Linked DNA regions of Rattus norvegicus. The protein of the gene in region 1 purifies or fractionates together with the protein of each later gene. This does not show direct contact. Links are inferred from orthologs where the notes say so. Each region holds a gene or a part of one and is shown in the gene's direction. Other genes may lie near its edges.

Region 1 (7,605 bases):
ATTACTCTTCAAGGCAAAGGAGTCTTTGGGTGCCTGTAGCAGAAGGGTCTCTGTATTCTCAATACAGACACAGCCCTGGGAAGGTAGAAAGCAGAGGCTACTATAGCAAAGAAGCATCTCTCGGAAGTCTCTTTTGTACTACGTTATCCACCTTGAACCTTACCTGATCTTCCTGTCTCTCCAGCTCAGAAGTTAAGAACGGTCTGATTCGAAGATAAACTTTCATCTTCTCTGCAGTGTCCTCCATTGGAGCCTATAACAGAGTCCAGGGTTAAACCTCTAAACCAGAACAAACAGCCTAGATCCTAAGGCTCCCTCATTCCATGCTAAGCGGTCCTGTGCAGCTATTCTTTGGTTCCACAATCATTTCCAGCTCACAAGAACTTTGTCGCCCTTCCCTGTTTCAACACTGCCCTATAAACCTGGCTTGCTATATCAATGATCTAAGGTAGCATGGGTTGATGTTTGAAAACATCAACATGTAGCAAGCATGGTATGGTGGTGTGAGCTTGTAATCTCAGCACTCAGTAGTAGGTAGAGATGGGGGATCAGAAATTAAAGCCAGCCTTTACAAATACTATCTCAAAGTAAATAACTTTCATTTATTCTTTTGTTTGTGAAGGTGTTAGATACAATAGTCTGGAGTTATAGGCAATTGTGAGCCATCTAACATTGGAGTTGTGAAGCTAATTGGGTCATCTGAAAAAACAGGAAGGGTTCTTGACCCTGACCACCTTTTTAATTCTGATAAATACAATTTTTTTCAAAGCATGGTAATGAAAATTGGGTTAGTAAGATGTCTCACCTTGCTGAACAAGCCTGCCAACTTGAGTCCAATCACAGGAACCCACATAAAGAAGGAAGAGAACTGACTCTACAAGGTTATCCTGACTTCCACTTGTGCATACCCGCCATCACACATACATAAATTAACAATAATAAATAATGGATATGCACAAACCAGAGACTCGACTTTATCACTGAGTAGTTAGGAGACCATGAACAAATTCTGAGTGACTCACTGAAGAAGGAAGGTGACTGGTAGCCACTCCATTGATTCAGCAGATACTTAGAGAATGTCTCTGTGTTCCCAACACTGAATTCTAAGTAGTGAAAATGTACTTTATGTAGTGGACAGAGGCCAGAAACAACACTAAACATGTTGCCAAGTACAGGGCAACAAACTCTTGGCTCCAAACATCAACAGTGCTATAACTGAGAACTTTTGGTCCTGCAACAGAAAGACTAAGGCAATGGCAGCTACAATTATTAATGAAACAGGAATTCCGTTCTACCTACATAAGGCCACCATGATTCTCTGCAAATAATTGTATGTGGTGCTAACATCTGAACCTAGGACATACTGAACATGCACCCTCACACCTTCCGTCCTTGTATGATTACCTACCATTAATAGCCTGCATACTAGAGAAATAATATTATTCTTCCCAACTGAAAAAGCATGGTGCAACTACAGTTGGGATATTTCATGAATATATGCTAATAATATTCATATATATATATATATATATTTTTTTTTTTTTGGTTCTTTTTTTCGGAGCTGGGGACCGAACCCAGGGCCTTGTGCTTCCTAGGCAAGCGCTCTACCACTGAGCTAAATCCCCAGCCCCTTGGTTTTTCAAGATAGGGCTTCCCTGGGTGGTCGTGGCTGTCCTGGAACTCACTTGGTCAACCAGGCTGGGCTTGAACTAACAGAGATCCGCGCTATTTTCTGCCTCTGTCAGGAATTACTAGCCTTTGATCTCATACTACCTTGTATAAATAACTGTTAAGCTGAAGATACCATTTTCTGCTCCTAAGCCACAGAACTCCTTTACCTGTTTGTCCTCCAGAGAGGCCGAGATGACAGAGCAATCTGACAACAGGTCCTTTCGGACCACAGACCTCAGATCTGCAGCTGTGGACTCTAACACGGGGGAGTCTGCAACATCCTCATCAGAGAGTAAGCCCACTGGCGGAGAAAGGATCCCGTGAGACATGACAAGCAGGGTCAGTCTATGTCTAAAAAGAGACAAGAGTAGATGGGTAGAACATTAACGCACAAAAACTGCAAACTTAGGTTAAACAGTCCCCTGGTTAAAAAGCGACGTCCTTGCTTTGGTCGAGACTATACACCTTTACAGCCAAGGGGAAGAGAATGAGAACAACTAAATCAGCCCGAAGCTGCATTTCTGAAGGTGAATAGGCACGAAGAACAGAAGGCCACGCTCCACAGAGGCTGTCCAGGCCTGCCAATGCATGTGTGTTTCAGATCCCAAGGGTACTTTTCCAAAGGGTACTCACTCCAAAGACCACGAGAACTAGGAAATTATGAAAGACCTAGGAGCTTTCTGAGGACTACGATATGCAAGCAACAGCTGATAACCGGAGTTCCATCCCCAATTGCACTCTGATAACCGGAGTTCCATCCCAATTGCACTCACCTGAAGACAGCCTGCTTCGCTGCTTCTCTGATTCCCAGCTTCTACCCAGCTGAGACCCACGACTCCTGCTACGGAGAACACAACTCCGCCCACGAGGAACAGCTTTGTTCCTCATACAATGTTTTAAAATGCGCGCTGAGCTTATCCGACCAATCAGAAAGCGAAGGCTGAAGGAACCAATCAGCAAAAGGGAGTGAGCAGAGGCGACCGGAAGACCGTTTGCTTTCAATGTGGGTCCGGGTTACCAACTGTCACTTCCAAGGTGTTCGTTATTGGGTTCGTTTCACTTAGTTCTAAACCTAGACGTTTCATTTCGGAGGCTTCAGCTTGTCCTTTATTAGTTAAAAAGAAAATTTTTCCTAGAGGGATTTCGCGTCTATTAGGAAACAGACCCACCCACATTACCCACGAGGCACCGCGAACGGACTCATACAGTTTTTCCCAGAGTTCCTCGCGTCTGTCGCAATCGTTGAAGACGTCGGAGCCAAAATGGCGACCGGGACAGGCAGTGAGTATCGGAGCAGCTTTTATGGTCAAGGCCTTTGTAGAGTCCAGACTAGGCATTCCATTTCTCAGGCACGAAAGGAGCGGAAGGAGTGGGTTGTTAGAGAGCGCAAAACTCAGAGACCTGCCTTTCACGTCGCTTTCAGAACCACCACCTGGGGTTTTAACAGTGGTGGGAGGAATCGGAAGCTGGTGAAAAACAGCCTAGGAAGCCTTTGTGTGCTAGACGCTCTCTGGGGTAAAACATAAAGGTAGTATGAAGTGGCCAGCGACTCATTTGTTTATCTAACCAGGCTGTGAGAAGCAGTCGAAATGATTATCTGCTGATGTAGGCGTTTCCTGACACCGGGGGAAACTCATCTCGTGTATTTCAGCCATTTTTTCAGTTTCACCAACGAACTCTTTATACCCGACGATTGGGGGGAGGAGCTGAGATGTAAACAACTTTATGCAAAAAAGGAGGTGGGCAGTAGGAGCCGGTGGCCGATTGGAATCTTGGGAAATACGCCCGAGTTCAAACAATTTTAAAACTTTTTTTTTTTTAATGAGAACCTTATTTTAACGTAACACTGCCAGTTTCTTTTTTTTTTTTTTTTTTTCTTTTGGAAGCAGAACACCTTGAAGCTATGGCATTTAAACACAATGTTCTATAAATGTGTATTCAATGAAAGCACCCTGGTCAATAATGGTAATATTTCATTGGAATGGTGAAAACTCAAGATTTGGTGATTATAATTGATAATAGTAGTTCACATTGTTCGAACTAATTTAAGATTTATTTGAGACAGGGTTTTATTGTGTGACTGATCCTGGCTGACCTGGAACACACTATGCAGACCAGGCTAGCCTCACAGAAATCTGTCTGCTTCTGCTTCCTGAGAACCAGAATTACCACTCCACAATTTGCCTGGGGTGTTGGTTTATATCAGACTTTTAGCTGTTCTGGGGCTCAGAACTAGTTCGGAGGTTGTTTCTGAGCTTTCTCTATTTCCAGAGCACAAGCTGCTGAGTACTGGCCCGACAGAACCATGGTCCATCCGAGAGAAGTTGTGTTTAGCATCTTCTGTTATGAGGAGTGGGGATCAGAACTGGTAAGGAATCTAAGATATCTGCCTTTTTTTTTTTTTTGGTTCTTTTTTTTTTTTTTTTTTTTTTTTTTGGAGCTGGGGACCGAACCCAGGGCCTTGCGCGTCCTAGGCAAGCGCTCTACCACTGAGCTAAATCCCCAACCCCAGATATCTGCTTTCTTTTTTTTTTGGTTCTTTTTTTCGGAGCTGGGGACCGAACCCAGGGCCTTGCGCTTCCTAGGCAAGCGCTCTACCACTGAGTTAAATCCCCAACCCCAGATATCTGCTTTCTTGACCCGTTGGGCTGAGTATCTTTCTCTTTGTTCTTTTGTTTGTTTTTGTAACAGGTTTTCTCTGTGTGGCCATGGTTATCTTAGAATTCATCCTGTAGACCAGGCTAGCCTGAACTCAGAATGCCTGCCTCTGCCTTCTTAGTACTGGAGTTAAAGACATATGGGATCAGGCTAGCCAGGACTAAGTATTTTTCACCTCAGTGTATTCCTTAAGTTACCTTAAGCTTTATGTAGAGGTCAGCTTTACCAAAATACAAATCATAAAGCATAAAATGAGCCTACTGGCAGGGAAAATAGTGGTGGTTTCTTCTATTTTCACAAACTTGTGCAGCCGTCCCTGCAATTTAAGAAGTTTCTTTAATCTTTAAACTAAGTCTGGCTAGATAGATAGCTCAGAGTTTAAAAGCATTGGTTGCTTTTCCAGAGGTTGAGTTCAACTCCCAGAAACCACATGGTGTCTCACAACCATTTGTGATGGGATCTGACGCCCTCTTCTGGTGTGTGTGTGAAGATAGCAACAGTGTACTCATATACATAAAATAAGAAAGTCTCTACATTTACCACTCCCTCTCTTCCCTGAGCAATCTACTTTTCCTAGACTTGGCTATCCTTTAGGTATAATATGTAGTCTTCTGGGACCAGCTTTTTAGTCAGTTAACATACCACTCTTCAAGGTTTATTCACATGTAACATATGAATACTTTTCTAGTATTGGCCAGATGAAAACATGAACCAACCATCCCTTCCATACCCATGGAGACTGAGTCCCAGCACCCTTGAGGGGTAAAGATGGTGGTGGCTCAGTTCCTTTACATAAGATCCCATATTTGCATATAACCAACACCTGTCCTCCTGAATACTCCAGATTATCTCTGGATTATATTACCTAATGCAATGAAATAGCATGTGAATGGTTTAGGGCAGAGGAACCTGTGGGTGGTGACACTTTGGTAAACCTCTGTCTAGAAAAATATTTACATTATAATTCATAATGGTAGCAAAATTATAATTGTGAGGTAGCAACAAAAATAATGTTATGATTGGGGGTCACCACAGCATGAGAAACTGTAAAAGGGGACGAAGCTTTAGGAAGATTGAAGTCACTGGTTTAGGGCGTACAAGTACAGATAGCTTTTTGGTTTTGGACATGGCTGTAATGTCCCAGGCTGAGGAAATCCAAGAATGCACATCTCCTGGCTATGGACAGTCAACTACATATTCATTACCTGACATTTGGACTGCCACCTTGGGACAGAATTAGGTCTTCATATGGTAGCTCTAGGTCTTTTTCTCTCTTTCTTTCTTTCCTTCTTTCTTTCTTTCTTTTTTTTTTTTGAGGAACTGCCAAACCATTTTCTTTATTATTTCAAAAATTAAGTATGTTTATCTGTGTATTGGGGTTATTTGGGCATATCAGTGCAGAATCCCTTGGGAGCCAGAAGAGGACATCAGATCCCCTGGAGTTGTAGGCAGTTATGAAACATCTGGCTGACATGGGTTTCTAGAACAGATTTGGAGTCTATGTGGAAGCAGCAAAATATGCTCTCAACCCCTGAGTCATTTCTTTATCCCTCCAAATTTTGGGGAGTACAGGTGCTGGGAGTGGAACTCAGAATTTGGTGCATGCTGGGTAAAGATTCTACCATCTATTTTTTTAAAAGGCAAGAGTCTCACTCTGTAGATCCGACTGGCCTCCAACTCACAGAGATCCTTCTACCCTGTCTTGTAAGTGCTAGGATTAAAGACATGTGCCACCATGCTCAGCAAAAAAAAAAAAGGGGGGGGGTGGCCCAGACAAGTTCGGACCTTTGTTGGTGGTGATTGTTTCCTTCCTCCCTCCCTCCCTCCCTCCCTCCCTCCCTCCCTCCCTCCCTTCCTTCCTCTTCCTTCATTCCTTTCTTTTCTGACTGTCCTGGAACTCACTATGTAGATAGACCAGGCTGGCCTCATATTCAGATCTTCCTGCCTCTGCCTCCTGAGCACTGTGACTGGCTCAAACCTTTATTTCTTTTAGCTAAGCTAGTTTCAAACTCCCTATGTAGCTAGGATGACCTTAAACTCCTGGTGTTTCCTTTACCTCCTAAATACTGTGATTACTGGCATATACATTGAGTCCCAGTTTTCATAGTATACATCAAACCTTGGTTTCATGCATGCTAGGCAGGTACTCTGCTAACTATAGCCCCATCCTCTCCAGTTTCTTTTTTTGCTTCACTATATTTCTTTATTTTTATAGTAGCTATACTAGAAGTCATCTCATTTTCTTTTATGCTTACTGTATGATTGCATGTGTGTATGTATACTGTAAGTGGGGCCGGGCGTCAGAAGACCGCTTGCAGGATTTTCCACCTTGTGGGTTTATAGGGATCAAAGTCAGATCTTCAGACTTGGAGACAAGTGACTTTATCAGCTGAGGAATTTGTGTGTGCGCGTGTGGGTAGGTAGGTAGGTAGTCCAGGCTGGCCTAGATCTCTGATTTCCCCTTTTTAGCCTTCCAACCTGGAATTAAAAATGGGAGCCATCTCATCGAGTTGTTTATTGTTTTGGGTTTTTGTTTTTTGTTTCTTTGTACAGCCCTGGCTGTCCTGGAACTCACTGTGTAGACCAGGCTGGCCTCAAACTCAGAGATCCACCTACCTTCCTCCCTAAATGCTAGGAATAAAGGTGTGCAACAATGCTGCCTGGCATCCTTGACGTTGTTTTGTATGCATTTCTCTGATGAACTGTGTATGGGAATGAAGAAATAAAGCTTCACAGATGTGAAAAGCAAAGCTGTGAAAACAAGGTTTTGAGAAATGCATCTGGGGGGCAGGATGCCTATGACAAACTTGTGACCCTTCTGAGAGATACATCTGACGTCAGGGAACCCTGTGAGATGATAAAGTTTTGATGATCAAGATATTGAGGCAATTCTGACTAAGCTGATTAAGACAAAACAATAACAACTGTTCTGGGAAAGACCCCCCTACCCCTCCCTGTGGTAAATTCCAAGAACAACCACAAGATGTCATCCTGACCCTCCCCAACACCCAGTTCACCCCCCCCCCCCCCAAAAGACTTAGCTCTTTCCCAGTGACTCTCCAAGGCCAGGTGTAGGGCTGGATGAGGAAAGCATCTAACTGAGCCAAGAACAGCCCCTTGGGCAGGCCAGCCAATACCTGACCAGATCCTTTGTCCTGTGTACTGCCAATGAGAAAAGGCCAGCTAACCCTGTCGCTGAAGTCTGCTCTCTGCCCTGTGCTTTTTGGGTTCGAGGTTGCCTCTCCCTGCGTGGATGAGCAACCCCATGTACATGGA
Region 2 (7,474 bases), on another chromosome or scaffold:
AAGGCAGAGCCAAAGGAAAACGTACCATCACTGACAGAAGGGTTGCTGCTGGTGGCAGTGCAAACTTAGTTCTTAGGAGCTGGAAAGAGGGAAGCATCAGACCTTAGTATAGGCAGCCGCAGACTTACCCCAGCTGCAGAAGATCTCACAACTCATTCATCCTTCAAAGTAGTGGGGGTCAAAGGAATGCCCCCAAGCCACTCAGAAGGCTGTAGCTAGTAAACCTGAAAAGCACTTCATGAAGGCCTGAGAGGGGATTCACATTAGGTTTAAATTTAGAAGGCCACCATTTATATAGTAGTGCTCTCTACAGTGCTAATAGAAGTCCATATCGGGCACAGGAAATGCATGCTTTGATTGGCTGAGTATCTTGAATTCCTTGTGTGGAAATCAGACAACTGCATAACAGACCTTCTGTTGGCTTTCAGGTGGCTCCATGAAGCCGCTGTGTTCCCACCTCCCTGGCAGCTGCCCATCCTGAGGACCCCGGCACACAAGCTTTAGGAGTCTCTTAACTGTAATGTCACTTAGCTGTAAGTCATCTGTAATGGCCCCTCCTATCCTATGGCATTACTCCACACACACACACCCCCACACCCTCATGTAGCCACTGACCAAGAGAGGTACAGTGCTCCAGAGAGGCCCTAAGTTTCCAAGAAAAGGATCTTGGAGGCAGGGAGTGTGTGTAGTTCATGGCCACTCTCTTATCTGATTCTTTGGTTCTCTTGTCACCCTGCCCTTTGAGATAGTTTTACTCCTCCAAGCGAGACAGAGAAATGTTCTCTCAAACCAGAAGTGCACCAGTCTCCTGGAAGCAACAGGATGAGGTGTTTGGTTCACATGATTTTTATAGCCTAGACATAGACTTTATGTAAAAGAACAACAACAAACGTTTTAAAATGTAGTACGGCACAAGCAAACATTTCATTACAAAGCATTTACTTTTCATTTGTTTGTCTGTGGTTACTTGGTCTTTGACCTGTCTATCACTGCTTTGGTGTGTATACAAAACCAATAGACTTGAAGATGTAGAAGGTCATGATTTTAAACCACCAAGAAGAGGAAGATGTGTGCCAATGAAAAGAGCAGGGTGTCACCTAAGCAAGTGTCACCCTATGCTAAGTTGTGGTGATATACTGATTTTTTTTTCTCACAACATGTAATGGATAATTTGAACTCCTTGAAAATTATAATTCGTTTCATAGTTACTTTGGTTCTTCACATTAAAAATAATCAATATGCTTAATTTGGCTGACCAAGCTTTTACTTGGCAGGCACACTTTGTAATAGTAGGGGGAGGGGCTGAAGGTAGCCAAGAGGTATGCACTAACAACACCTAGCCCCCTTCCTTCCTTCTTTCCCTTACACCCTTCTGGCCTTGCAGTAGATAATTCCACATAGAAAGTCATTCCTCCAGAGAACAGAGTTGTCACTTCAAGTCTCAGGGCACTCTCCCAGCTGCTGCAGAGTTGGGGTGCCTCATATCTCTAAGGAGGCTGTTCTGGCATCATTCTTGGCTGGAGTTTCCCCATTGCATTTCCATGTCACTGGGTGCAATGTCTATCTGCCAGATATTCTGCCTGCTCTCAGCTAAAGGCCTTCCTCCCTGGCGGGACAGCTGAGCACACTGCACAGTTGCCAACATTCTAATTCAAGATGTAGAATTCTAACTCCTGCTCTTTAGACCCCTGTCTGGTCCCAGTTTCCAGCCAAGCAGGTCCCTGGCTCATTATCAAATCCTTGGGTGCCCTTCCCCCATCCTCACTTGGACCCAGGAAATTATTCCTGGCACCAAACTGAACTTTAATGACCTGCTGCCCCAGCCCCACTCAACTCAGCTCTCCCTTCGGCAGATTTGTCACCCTGGAGGCTCGAAGAAGCGACAGACCAGACAAAAATGTCAATGGGTGGGAGAACTCAGCCTCAGTCTTTATGACTGGGAGATTGTGAAATTTTTCTCGGTGACAGAAATACTACATATGTCTGTATTTAAATTTACACGAAGTGACCGAACAATCTTAATATTAGAAATAACACAAGTGGTATATATAGTTTAAAAAAGACAGGATTGCTATTTTTTCTAGGTATATGCACCAGAAGGTAAGTGGAATTGTTCTAAAGAAAAATGCTAAATTCAGAATGCATGAGTGATTTAAAAAAAAATGCACCCTCAAATCATGCACATTTTCCAGGGCTCCTTGAACACCTGGAAGAAAATATACACCTTGTAGGTAAAATGTAACTGCAACTGGGGTTGGGGACCAGAAGATTCTTAAGAGGTTAATTGGTCAAATTTATGGCTTAAATGCTCACAGGATGCTATAATCCTAATTGATTGGTGAAATCTTCATTTTTAAGTAAAAATCGAGTATGCTTGGACTTCGTTTCCAAACTACTGTGCTTGCCTTTTCTTCTGGGCAGCAGCACTGCCAGACCTGAGCCACACACAGCAAGGGGTGCATGAGGTGCACTAATTTGGGGTAAAGAAATTGAGATTTTTGGTTTTCTCAGAAGAATCAGGGAGAACAAACGTGATACATATGTAGAACATAGTCAAATGCACTTGTCAACCAAGCACTCTATTTTGAAATTTAAATAAAGCTAAGATTTTTCTTCCGGCCTAGGGGGAAAGCTTCATTAAAATCAATTAGTTACTACTAACCTCCAGAGAATAAGGAATTTAAAAAAAAATTTTTTTTTAAATAGAAAAGTTTAAAGAACAAGGTGCACACAATTACCTTTCCTGGGTCCCTAGTGAATGCCATTGTCACACCTAGACAGGTGGCCAAGTGCAAACAAATGTCCCCGAGAGGGCCGGGTAACTCCCAGAGTGCTCATCTGGGGGAAACCATGTGTAATTAATAGATGTGTATCTATTAAGAATGTAGTGCACATAACCAAGGGAGGCTTCGAGCCGACTGCAAGCACCTCACACGGCGAAGGGCAGGCCCAGGGACGTAAAGTTGGAGGCGGGAGCTGCCAGGTGAGGCCTGGGTCGCGGAGGTTGGGGCCCGCACAGCTGCAGGCGCGCGCCTGCTCCCTCCTCCCAGCCGCCGAGTCCTCCCCGCCCCCTCCCCGAGCTCCCGCCGCCTCCCGCTGCCTCCCGGAGGCTCGGCGCTGCGCTCCACCTCGCGCCCCCTCTCCTCCGTCCCGGGCTCGCGCTGCCCTCCCCGCGCCTGCCCCCTCCCCGGCCCCTCCCTCCGCCTCCGCGCGCGGCGCTCGCAGAGCCGACTCCGGGGGGCTCTCGATGTAGCACCATGACAGGCATCGCCGCCGCCTCCTTCTTCTCCAACACCTGCCGCTTCGGGGGCTGCGGACTCCACTTCCCCACGCTGGCCGACCTCATCGAGCACATCGAGGACAACCACATCGGTGAGGCCCGGGTGGGCGGGGGTCGGGCGGCGGGCGAGCCCCGGGGTGGCGCGGGCCGGGCGCCCGATAAGGTGCGGGCGTGGAGGGCCGCGGGGCGCGGGGATGGCCGGCCGCAGGGTGAGGGCGGGCGCGGGCCGCGGGGGGCGGGTGCCGCACGCCGCTTCCGCCCGGCCCGAGCTGTCAGGCTGGCGGGAGCCGGGGAGGCGCCGCCGCGGCAGCCATTCCGCTTCCTCCCCCGCCTGCGTCCTGTCAGCGCCGGTTGCTAGGTGTGGCGCGGCGGGAGGGGGCCGCGGCGGCGGGCGCGGGGCTCTGCGTGCTCTGAGCGGCGCGGGCGCGGGGCCCGGCCTGGCGCGGCGGCTGCGGTTCTAGCGGCTGCGGGCCGCGCCCATCCCTAGCCCGAGCGCCCCGGGGCCCGGGCAGCGGAGGGGAGCCCGCGGGCGGCGGGCGGGCGTGTCGCGGCGCCGGCGTTGCGGCTAGGCCGGAGGTGCGCCGGTCCCCGCGGGGCCTGCGCGGCGCGGGCGCGGGGACGCGGGGGAGGGGCGTCCCGCGGGGCGGGTTGCGTCCCCGGGGACTCAGAGACCTTCTAAGTCCTGCGCCTCACGTAAGTCCTTGCACCACGTTTGCACTCTCATCCCTGCCCCTGCGGAGGGAGATGGGTCTGGTGCTTCTGGCTCTCAAGACCCAGCCACCTGCAGAAGGTGTGGCCACTCCCTAGAGTGCCCCGGTGGGTTTGGAAGGTGAAAAGGGCCGCGGGTTGCCTGGATGAGGCTACCTGTGAATTGCTTCAAGAAGACCAGATGAATGCCCTGGATTCGGCCATGTGGATGCAGCTCACGTTTCTGCAAAGTTGAGAGAGTAAATCACGACTGCTGTGCATTTATGTACGAATAAAATGAGGCAGAGCCTTATGCCCCTTTGCTTTGTAGGATGCTTTCTCCTTGCACACAGTGGGCGCTTAATAAGCGTTAAGTGCCTGTTTAGAGCAGGATTTGATGGGCCATCCAGAATGGGAGCTAATCATGAAAATTGTCTGCAAAATGCCATTGAAAACAGAAATCTGATGAGTAATTGCCAGGCTTTGAAAATCTTCAAAGTTTCAAAGTATCTCCTTAGTAGTTTCCCCCATCTCTTCTGATAAAGGACCAGGTAAAGGACCTATGCTCTCAAGTTTTGGTGGTCTTACACGAGGTTTAATACAGTAGCAAAGTTGCTGATTCATATCATAACTAAGTGGTCATAACTAAAAGTGCTCCAGGTATAAAGTCAGTTTCTCATCATGGCTTAAACTGTAGTGGTGAAGTTTCAAGACCAGTCTTCCTAGTTCATCACTGGACTCCCCTTACTCCTTAAACTAAATGGAGAGGGTAACAGGAAACTGTTTTCACAAGTTCCATCCGTTTCGTCAGTTATATCAGGATAAACAATAATTTATGCAAGTTGAATGAGTAATAATTGTACTCCGGTTGCTTTCCTACTTGAACTACTAGCTGGTTAAAAAGATAATTTAGTTCTAGCATGAATTAAACAGTTTTTTCCTTTTGAATTAACTTGGAATCAGACGATTTAGACTAGCATTGGTAAATCATAAGCCTTTTTTTTTTTTTTGAGTTGGCAAAAGTCGTCCCAGTGCTGTTCAGTTATCTTTTAAGAGGGTCAAGGGTTTATGAATTTTCTAAAACTAATCTTTTAAGTGATGATATCTCACTCCCCAAGGTCTAGTGATTTTCTTTAATGGTGAGAGTATTGAAGAAGTAAGTTTACATTGCTTTGGCAAGGCTAACGGTTATTATACTTGGGACATAGTCGTTGCAGCAAAGTTTCTGAAAAATAGATATTAGAATGAGCAGACGCTTGGATCCAGACCTTGAAGAGGCTTGCTGGAACTGCCGTGCACCTCAGATGAGAAGAAGCCTTCAAAGGGCAATTGGCCATGCAGAGAGAGATGAGATTTTAGCTCATACAGTATAACATTTGGATTGGCTGGTACTGTGCACATGTACTTAGGATGAAGAGGCAGGAGTGAAAATACAAACGTACTCACGGAAGCTCTACATATTATCATTTATTGTGATTGCTGTGCACACGACATAAGCTATATACATGAGATAGTGAGTTTTTTGGTTTTTAGTAAATGGTGGCTTCACTGATTTAACATCTTAATCAGCCAGTGGACCCAGCCAGTGGAATCATGAAGAGACCCAAGATGTATATGTTATTTTACTTTTATTCAAGGGTCTTACTTACTTAGTGCCATATATAACCATGAGGGTTAGAGATATGACTGGTTTTGAATTGTTACCATTTAATCATTAGTCAAAAGCACTGACAGACTTTTCAAAGCCTGTAGTTTTCATTATTACTATTGTTTATCATTCAGATTACCTACGCTAAGTTGTGAATGGCTGTCTTTCATATGTGTGTGTGTGTGTGTGACATATATACACATACATAGACATGTATATGTATATGTAGCTGCATTTTCATGTGTATGGTGATTCTGATTATTGATCTGATAGCTTCACCTTCAAAACACCAGTTTTCCCATGCAGTTCCAGCCACAGCTCTTGTTTTTAACCTCTTTCCATTTCTGGTAAGGATCAAGGAGCTGTGGCTTCAAAGACAAAATAAATCTGCTTCTTTCGTCTTTGTCTTAGGCAGTGTTTCTCCTCCTTAAAGATGCTCCTTTAAGACACATGTTCTTCTCATTTGCTCTTTGCTTTTTCCCCTTTCATGTCTGTTTGTCTGGTAGTAGGGCTAGGTCCCTTCTCAGTGAACAACCCAAGTATCCTGAGCCTAAGCCTTCTCCTCCCCACTCACTTACATGGCCTTAAAACACCCGCAGCTGGGTAACTGTGAAGTGCTACTCTCTCCGCTCCGCTATCCACACAGAGGCCTGGTGCTGCTTCCTGGAGGCCAGAGAAGCTTCTCATGGTGAGTGGATGCCCAAGCTTGTAGAAACACTCTTGGCGTGACAATCATAAATACACCCAGGTTAAACTGGTAACAAGGAGGCTTGGAAATACAGAGAACACTAAATTTAGCAAGAAGATCATGCCTTAGACTCATGAATGTCACTGCTGCAAAATCTTTTAGCTTTGGGACTCATAAAGCAACTGTGGAACCATTAGCTGGTTTCATCCGTGTGTGAAATCACACCTGCTCTTTGGATTTATTTATGTGATAGCATAGCACTTGCTTTTTGCCAGGGACAGTTCTAAACATTTGTTGCCTTTTGGTGAAGGAAAACAAAAACACCTGAGTTTGGGGTATCTTAGATGCTAGTGAAGAAAGATAAATAACAATTTACAAATGATAGAATATGTTAGAAGTTAGTTAGTGATACAGAAGAAAAGTTAGAATAAAATACAGTGGATTTGAAGTAATGAATGTTAGAATTTTAAATAAATTGGTCAGGATAGGCCCTAGAAGCTAACACAGAGTCACAGTCTTAAGAGAGGTGACATCAGTGAGAGCAGGGAGGGCCAGGCAGGGAGAGCAGACATGGCCCAAGATGGGACCATGCCTTCGGAAGAGACACTTGGGAATCTGACCCAATTTTGTTCTTATAATGGTGATGAACTAACATCCCTGATGAACTAAAAGAGCTAACTTCCCCTCCATGGCAAGAGCTGTCACCTTAGCTGTCACTGATTCAGGTTTCCATTTATTGGACTGGAGTCTTAGTCACAGGAAGTGGCTTTCCCTAGCCAGGACAGGCATCTCTAGACCTAGAATATCTCTAGACTTGACATTTTTACCTGTTTTCCTCTAATTCACAGGTGCTTCATTTCATAGAGTAGATATAAAGCTATCTAATTAATAAAGTCAGAGCCTCTGAAAAAAACCATGAGGATAATTCCTATCAGTAATGTAGACTTGCTTATCGAGATGACCCAATAAATGTTATGGTTTGAATGAGAAAGGTCTCCCATAGGTTCATGGGCTAGAATATTCGGTCCCCAAATGAAGTACAGTTAGTCATAGAAAACCATGTAACTTTTAAGAGGTGGAAGCTGGCAGGAGGAAGTAGGCCTTTGGGGAATAGAAGGTCCTTGAGCCCTGCCCCACTTCCTGTCTGTGGTCTGCCTATTGATTGGTGATA
Region 3 (7,332 bases), on another chromosome or scaffold:
ACCTCTGGAGGAATCAGAAACGGAGGCAGTCAGCACGCACACCGCGCACGGCGCACCGCGCACCGCACACCGCACTGACGGATCCCACCCGCCCCAGGCAGAGTTTCTTATCAATTCTAACGCAGATGTGATTGCCTGGGTCCGGCGGGGGCTGCAGCTTTGCATTTCTATGAAGCTCCTAGCGGTGTGCCTACTTGGACCAGCACGAAGTGCCCAAGACTGACAAATTCAATCTTGAAAGGCTCGAGGGCTTGAAACATTTTTACGGCTTTACCGAAGACTCACCTGTGGAAATAAGTTAGATTGCCATATCGAAGAGACTAAAACGGACAATGCTGGCCCTTGTGCACAGTTCTTCCCTAAGCACACGTCTTGTTCATGAAAATGACAGGCCACTCAACTCCATTTTCTCACAGGACAGAAGAGGACCATACATTTTTTTATCAATCTGTCTCCACCCTCACAGGCTAAGATTACAGGCACGCTACCACGTCTAGCTTTTTATTTTTAATTTATATTATTATTACTATTATGTAGTGCCAGAGGTCAAACCTAAGTCCTTGTGCATATAAGCCAAGTTTATGCCCACCCTGGTATTATTATTTCCATTTTAACTACATTAGATCTAAGAATGTGTTCTCTGACATCACATCCGTCAGTCAAAACTTACCGAGATGTATTTCATGGCTCAGAACTCCATCAGTTCTTGCAAATGTCCCATGAGTCCTTCAAAATAATATTCAATTTCTGGGTAGTTTTTGGTTTTTTTCTCATTTATTTCTTTTCTTTTTTCTTTTTTTGTCTATTAGATCAGAGGTACTGGCCAGACTGACAGATTTGAATAGTCTCGTCAATTACTCTAAGAAAGCTGAACTTGGGTAGCACACGCCAGTAATTCCAGGCCTTACCTGAGGCAGGAAAATTATTGAGAGTTGGAGGGTTTAAAGTGAGTTCTAGGCGCTGAGACCCAGCGTTTACTGCCCCTCCCCCTCAAGAAAAATATTATCAGGAAGAGATGTGTTAGCAACCGTGGTCTCTCCTCCTGGAAAGCCTTTTCTCCATTTGTCCAGATGTCCTTCCAACACGTGGAGATGCATGGTGAGCTGAATTTGGTTGGCTCTTCATAGGCCTAGCCCTTGTCCTGGAAGTCTAGGGGACACCTGGCCCTTACTTCCCGCCCTCCCCGAAATCTGGCACTCTCCTCTAAATTCATATTGCTTGCTGTCATACAGTCTGCTTGACGTGTCTACCTTCCCTACAGTGATTTTAGAATTTACTCCCTCGTTAGATTGTAGCCATGTGAGCAAAGATTATCTTTATAACAGATTTGTTGACATATAATTATTAATATATCATAAAGCCCACTCCTTGAAAGAATATAATTCAGTGAAAGCTCGTCTTTGCCTTGGCATCTTCCAGGTTTCACATACGAATCACCTGAAGACCATGAAGAACTGTCTTTCATTGGTCCTACTCCCTCCCAAAGGTTTTGCCTTAACTGAGCAGGGGCATGGAGCAGGCATGAGGGTTTTTCTTTCTTTTTTTTTTTTTTTTTCGGAGCTGGGGACCGAACCCAGGGCCTTGTGGTTGCTAGGATATTTTTTTAAAGTCTCTGAATAAACTAACTTGCAGCTAAAGATGTCTGGTAATACTCTGCACACTGCAGGGAGGTATACAAGGATGGTTTGCTGTGATCACCCATTGTCTCTACTTCTGGTATCCAGTTAACTCTTACTGTCTTTGTCTCCCTTACAGACCTTGACTTCTATTACGGGTCAGTGTCTGCTTATGACTGTGTTCTCAACACTAGGCTTGGCCACACACCCATTTTAAGGCCAGCCTGGGCTAGGAGTCACAAAGATTGTATACACCACCAAGTTTCTGTACTCAACAGTCAGGAACTTAATGATTTTTTTTACTCAAAAACAACAACAACAAACCAACCAGTAACTCATGGATCAAACTCAAGACCACTCACTTTGAAGATCAGTTATAAAATTTCTCAGAAGACGAAAGTGTATTATTACTGGGTTGTTTGTTTGTTGTTTCATCGAGGACCTGGCTCACACTAAAAAAGGTGACAGCGTCGTCCGGTTTTCTGCTTCCACAGCTGTGAAGTCTTTGAGGGGACACATGCCATTCCTGGCCTGCCACATTATTAGATAGTTAAATATTGGCGGGATGAATGTAGTTAAACTTCATACCTAGTTGTGTGAGTATCACCTTAACTGGACAGGAAGCTGCACAACTTTCCCGTTTTGATTCTGTTTGCAGTTAATTAGAGTTCTCTAAACGGGGGCACTCCCTAATCTGCTCTGGCTACGACAAACATAAGGTAGGTTTTACTTGCACCTTCGAGAGGTTTTGTAAACATTCAAGCCCAGTAAGGACAGTTCTCTACGACAAATGAAAGCAAGACTCTTGAGACAAGGACACCCCTGTGAAGTCGGTCCTTTAGCTTGTCTCGTAATGCCTCTTAATACTTTAAAATCAGATTCAGAGGGTCCGCGTGGGCGTCTGGACCGCGCCCCCTGGTCAGCCGCAGCGTGATTCCTGCCCCGTAGGTTACGCCCCAGGGCGCAAGTGGAGCGACTCAAGCATTAAACAAGACAATGTAAAAGCAGTCTAGCCAAGAAGAGACAGTGTTATTTTGGCAGCCAGTTTCTCCCCCAGAGCCTCCACCCAATCCCTTGGGCCGGGCGCCCAGAGCTCAGAATTGTGGCCGGCTCCAGGAGCCCAGCTCCCTCCACGTGTCCTGTCTTCCCAGCAGCCTCTCCGCCGCCTGGGGAGGAAAATCTCCTGACAACTCGCGGTCTATGGACTACATCTCCCGGGAAGCACCGCGCCACTTCTCGCAGCCAACACCCGGGGCGCAGGCGCTCTGCGCTCTGTCAACAAGCGGGTCTGACGAAGACTGTGTGCGGTTCCTGATGGGATTTGTAGTTTCTCTGGCTCTCTCCCACTCGCCCATCAGACGCTCGAGGACTACAAGTCTCAGCTACCCCGGCGCGGTGAGCCCGGTCACGTGTTAGGGGGCCGATCGGGCGTGCGTGCCGCCGTTGATCCGGTGCTACAGTGAGGTGGTTGTCGCCCGTGTTGTGTGTGTGTGAGTGTGTGAGTGAGTGAGCGAGTGAGTGAGTGAGTGTGTGCGTGGGGGCACTCGGCTTGTTGTTGTCGGTGACTTCCCCCTTCCCTCCACCCCTCCCCTCCCCGGCCGCCGCTGCAGTGGCCGCTCCCTGGGCCGTAGGAAATGAGCGATAACGATGACATCGAGGTGGAGAGCGACGTGAGTCCCGGGGCTTCTTCCTTTCCGTTCGGGTTGTCAGGCGGGGACAGCGGCCAGGGCTCTCAGCCAGGCGACGGCGGGAGGGGGGCCGGGTCGCCGCCGCCTCCGTCCTCTTCCCCCGGGGCCGGGACCGCCTGCGTCGCGCTCCAGGCTCGCTCCCCTCCAGTCCTGTCCGGAGAGGCCTCCTGGGACTGAAGGTGGGAGCAGACACGCGGCCTCCGGGACCCACACATTCTCCCGTGGAGGAGGGTGTCGAGGCCTCCCTCTCCACTCTGCCGGGCTGGAGATCCCATTATCCGTCCGGATCCTGGGCAAGGAGACCAGCGCTCAGTTCTTGCTCATTGGGTCCATGATCTCCCTCCTCCGGTGACCGGTTGATCCTGGGGGTGAAGGGGCTGGGAGTGCTCTGACGCCCGAGAGGGATCGGGAAAGAGCAGACAGTGCTCCGGATCCCTCTTGTCCGGTTCGGATCCCAGAAGGAGGGGCAGCGCCTGGGACCCCCACTAGGCTACGGGTTCTCGCTGGAGAGAGTGGAAGGGAAAAGAGGGAGGGAGGGGTGTCAGGCTGACTACCCACCCGCTGCTTCCTCCGCCGCCGGCATTTTCTTTCTTATTATTGAATTCGAAGTGCGAAAATAACTTCTATATTTTCTATTTTTTTTTCTCTCTTATTCCAGGAAGAGCAACCGAGGTTTCAATCTGCGGTACGTCTCCTACTCTCCATTTCATTTTCATTTCCGTTCAGTTTTCGTTCTTTTTGGAGTCAGAGAGAAAAAGAGATCGTTCTATTACTTTTAATAGTCTTGTAAACTCCTCTTAACCGCTAAGGTGAGGTGGAGTCACTTGGGGTTGGAGGAGGGGGGCGTTGCAAATCCTCATGATTCTGGATTCTCAGGTGGTAGATTCTAGTGAGTAGGTAGGTAGCTAGGTGAGTGAGAGGAGGCCTGTGCTTCGAACTGAGTTCTGTAGTGTTCAGTGAAGGATGCAGCCGAGGCGTGTGAGAAACGAAAGAGCATTCCGAAGTGAATGGTAGTGTTATTTCAGAGCAGACTGGTCAGGTTTATTTAGGAGGTAAACTTTAAGCAGTGTCTCCATAGTTGTGTGAAGTCGCAGGCACGCATAAAGATCAATGTCTTTAGCCAAAGTCTGCTACAAAGACTGCTACAGCCCCTAGAATATAGAAAAACGCTTTATTCGCAACAACAACAATGGGAAAGAGAGGCACCAGAAGTTAAATACTGAGAGTGTCACCGCTTTTTGTGGTCTGACTTTCCGTTTGAGAAGAAAAAAAAAATTATTGCTAAGCGGCACTGTAAGAGATAGCTTCGCTGGAAGGTGATGGATGGGACTTCTTAGGATTGTGATAGTAATGGTTTTTATGGGTGTTTCTGGCTTTGAGTTGACCCTATGCTCCCTTGTGTTTGGAGTCTGAGGCTTAGGAGTAAATGGGTATAGATTAGGGAGAGAGAAAAGGAATAGACTCAGAATAAATCCAATCAGAGAAGAGAAACAAATGTAATATTTGATGATTGGAAGTGGTAAGAAAGGGGTGTAGAGTGCATTTTCCTGTGAGGGCCAGGTAATGAGCTCGTGAAGGATAGAGGGAAAGGTGAGGACTGGTGTATGCACTGAAGGATGCACACCCCTTCTGAAGTAGCCACCTAACTCTGCTGCTTGCTCCCCGAGAGTGAGCTCAGGCTGCCAGATCTTTTTTTTTACCTTCAGGGCTGAGCCATATCCCTGGAACTTCTAACTTTATGAGAAATGTTAATATGCTAGAAACACAGATTATTACTTTTTCTGGTGTGTTTATATGCATTTAATTTTTGACTGTGCTGGGAATTGAACCCAGGGCCTAAGGATGCCTTGCAACCCCTCTGCCATGGAGCTACAGCCTCAACCTACTTGATTTTTCTTTTTAATTACATTTATTTATTTAACGTGTGTGTGTGTGTGTGGGTGGGTGGGCGTGTGGGTGTGTGGTCATGCATATGTCATGGCTCTCATGTGAAGATCATAGAACAACTTGGGGGAGTCAGTTCTCTTTTCAGCACGTGGGTCTGGGGATTGAATTTAGGGTCATCAGGTTTGACTACAAAGCCTTTACCCGCTGAGCTGTCTCTTTAGCTTCAGTTATCTGATCTTTAAAATGATACGTGGAACAGCTGCTTAGGACTTGTAAAGAGTTTGCAGGATGTAACTAGGCTTGATTATTCAGGCCTGTAAACCCAGTTACTCAGAAGGTTGAGGTAGGAAGATCAAACATCCGAGCCTGCCTCTGCAATTCCTTAATACAAAAACCAACACAGCACAGAGTCCTGGGTTGTGACCCAGTGTGTAAGCCCAGGGCTTCTGAGGCTTTGGCAGAAGGGTTGCCCTGAATTTTAAGCCCACCTGGGATATAGAGTGAGTCCCAGCCTGGACTACAGCATGAGATTCTGCACAAGAATTCTCTGCTTCTGTCTCTTTTTCTGGGGAGCAGATGTGACAGCTCAAGTGTAGGACCCAGCTCCTCAGTGTTTCTGCTCTTCATTAGGGCATCAGATTGTGCAGACCCCCGAAACATCATTTGTTGGGAACTGATTGATTCTGAGTGCAGTTATCTCAGAGGTCTTAAGGATTGTTCTGAGATTCTCACTGAAGATGTTTTCTTAATGAAGCTTTACACAGTTGTCAATAGAACGTCAAATCCCTTTTGTGTCTTGTTTTTCAGCTGTTATCCTTTTTTTTCTTTTGGGAGAGGGAGGAGTCTAAGCTTTGTCCTGGAACTCACAGAGATCCATCAGCCTCAGGTTCCCGGATTAAATGGGATTTAATCAGCTGGGATTAAATGTGTGCACCACCCTGCCTGGGTACTATTCGTCTAATACTATGGACCTGGTTGTTTTCCTTTGAGCCTGTTCTATCCTTTGAGCCTGTTCTACCAAAACAACAACAAAAGCCAACTCTTCCTCCCTCTGAGTCTCTGGTTATGAGATCTGCGCAGGGCTTGATCAGGGTTAGAGGGCAAGACTCCTCTTGAACTGGAATTAGGTTTGCCTTTCAGTGAGAGATGTTTTCTTACTTTATGATAAGCAGTTATTGTAGGCTTTCTGCCTTTTAAAACATCCCTCTGGGTGTTTAATTAATCTACTTCTACAAGGCTGATCTTAACTTTGTCTACGTGTTTTAACTTTTTTTTTTTTTTTTTTGTTAAGGTGCTTAGGAATTTTTCCTTTCACTTTGGGACATGGACAATGAAATTTTTGTTGTTGCTGAAGGTTGAACCTTTGAGACCCTTTGTTTTAATTCAGTATGCTTACTTACTGAGATTTTTCTGGTAAAGTTTATCATAGCATAGACAAAAAACAGGTATATATTATAGACAGAGTGCATTGTACAACTGTCACAAATGGTCTGGGAACCGTATTCCTTCCTTTATCCCTGTGAATATCCATTTGCTTGTTGAAATTTAGTATAAATAATACATTTTTTTTCTAAAATGTGGAAAGCTATTAGGTTTTATCTTTGGAAAACCATTTTAAAAAATGGACTCTGGACAACTAGATGTTTAAGATTATAGAAAAACTTTTAAAAAGTTATTTGGAACTAAGTGTGGTAGCTCACACTTGTAATCCTAGCACTCAGGATAATTGAGACAGGAGGATTACCATGAGTTCCACCTGATCTATAGAAGCGCGAGCACGCACGCGCACACACACACACACACACACACACACACACACACACACACACACACACACACACACACACCAAGTTATTTGGGACATGTTCTGTGGGTCCTAACATGAAAAGATGATCATAGTTTCTGCAGTCAGTACAGAGTCTTCCTCATGAAGAGTGCAGGCCCTTCAGATCAGTATGGAGGGAGGCTAACGAAAGTGAAACTGATGTGGAGAGTGCTGCCCACGGAAGGGGAACAGCACTCTCCAGTGAGCAGCAGACATTAGAGGAAGTCACCCTGAACACTAGTTGCTAAACTTGATAATTGCAGAATCTCACCAGTACTTTTTTGTGGGACAGGGGGCATAGGTTGTATTTTAAAGA

The links. Proteins that work in one complex are often made in the same cells at the same time.
Region 2: the proteins of Brd8 (region 1) and Jazf1 purify together in Homo sapiens (affinity purification with mass spectrometry; 3 studies listed by BioGRID and IntAct, with this or other methods). This does not show direct contact. The link is inferred for Rattus norvegicus from reciprocal best matches to the Homo sapiens genes BRD8 and JAZF1.
Region 3: the proteins of Brd8 (region 1) and Max purify together in Homo sapiens (affinity purification with mass spectrometry; 3 studies listed by BioGRID, with this or other methods). This does not show direct contact. The link is inferred for Rattus norvegicus from reciprocal best matches to the Homo sapiens genes BRD8 and MAX.

Annotation. Positions count from the first base shown.
Region 1 is NC_086036.1:26,499,317-26,506,921, reverse strand, and holds the start of Brd8 (bromodomain-containing protein 8), read left to right. Parts: upstream 1-2,915; 5' UTR 2,916-2,933; coding exon 2,934-2,952; intron 2,953-3,942; coding exon 3,943-4,039; intron 4,040-6,866; exon of another isoform or gene 6,867-7,497; coding exon of another isoform or gene 7,498-7,605. Other genes in the region: kinesin-like protein KIF20A, read right to left, coding at 1-75, 164-253, 1,839-2,000. UniProt on the Homo sapiens protein: May act as a coactivator during transcriptional activation by hormone-activated nuclear receptors (NR). Isoform 2 stimulates transcriptional activation by AR/DHTR, ESR1/NR3A1, RXRA/NR2B1 and THRB/ERBA2.
Region 2 is NC_086022.1:83,509,368-83,516,841, reverse strand, and holds the start of Jazf1 (juxtaposed with another zinc finger protein 1), read left to right. Parts: upstream 1-3,197; 5' UTR 3,198-3,257; coding exon 3,258-3,372; intron 3,373-3,889; exon of another isoform or gene 3,890-3,973; intron 3,974-7,474. UniProt on the Homo sapiens protein: Acts as a transcriptional corepressor of orphan nuclear receptor NR2C2. Inhibits expression of the gluconeogenesis enzyme PCK2 through inhibition of NR2C2 activity.
Region 3 is NC_086024.1:101,391,014-101,398,345, reverse strand, and holds the start of Max (protein max), read left to right. Parts: upstream 1-3,055; 5' UTR 3,056-3,250; coding exon 3,251-3,286; intron 3,287-3,344; exon of another isoform or gene 3,345-3,483; intron 3,484-3,962; coding exon 3,963-3,989; intron 3,990-7,332. UniProt on the Homo sapiens protein: Transcription regulator. Forms a sequence-specific DNA-binding protein complex with MYC or MAD which recognizes the core sequence 5'-CAC[GA]TG-3'. The MYC:MAX complex is a transcriptional activator, whereas the MAD:MAX complex is a repressor.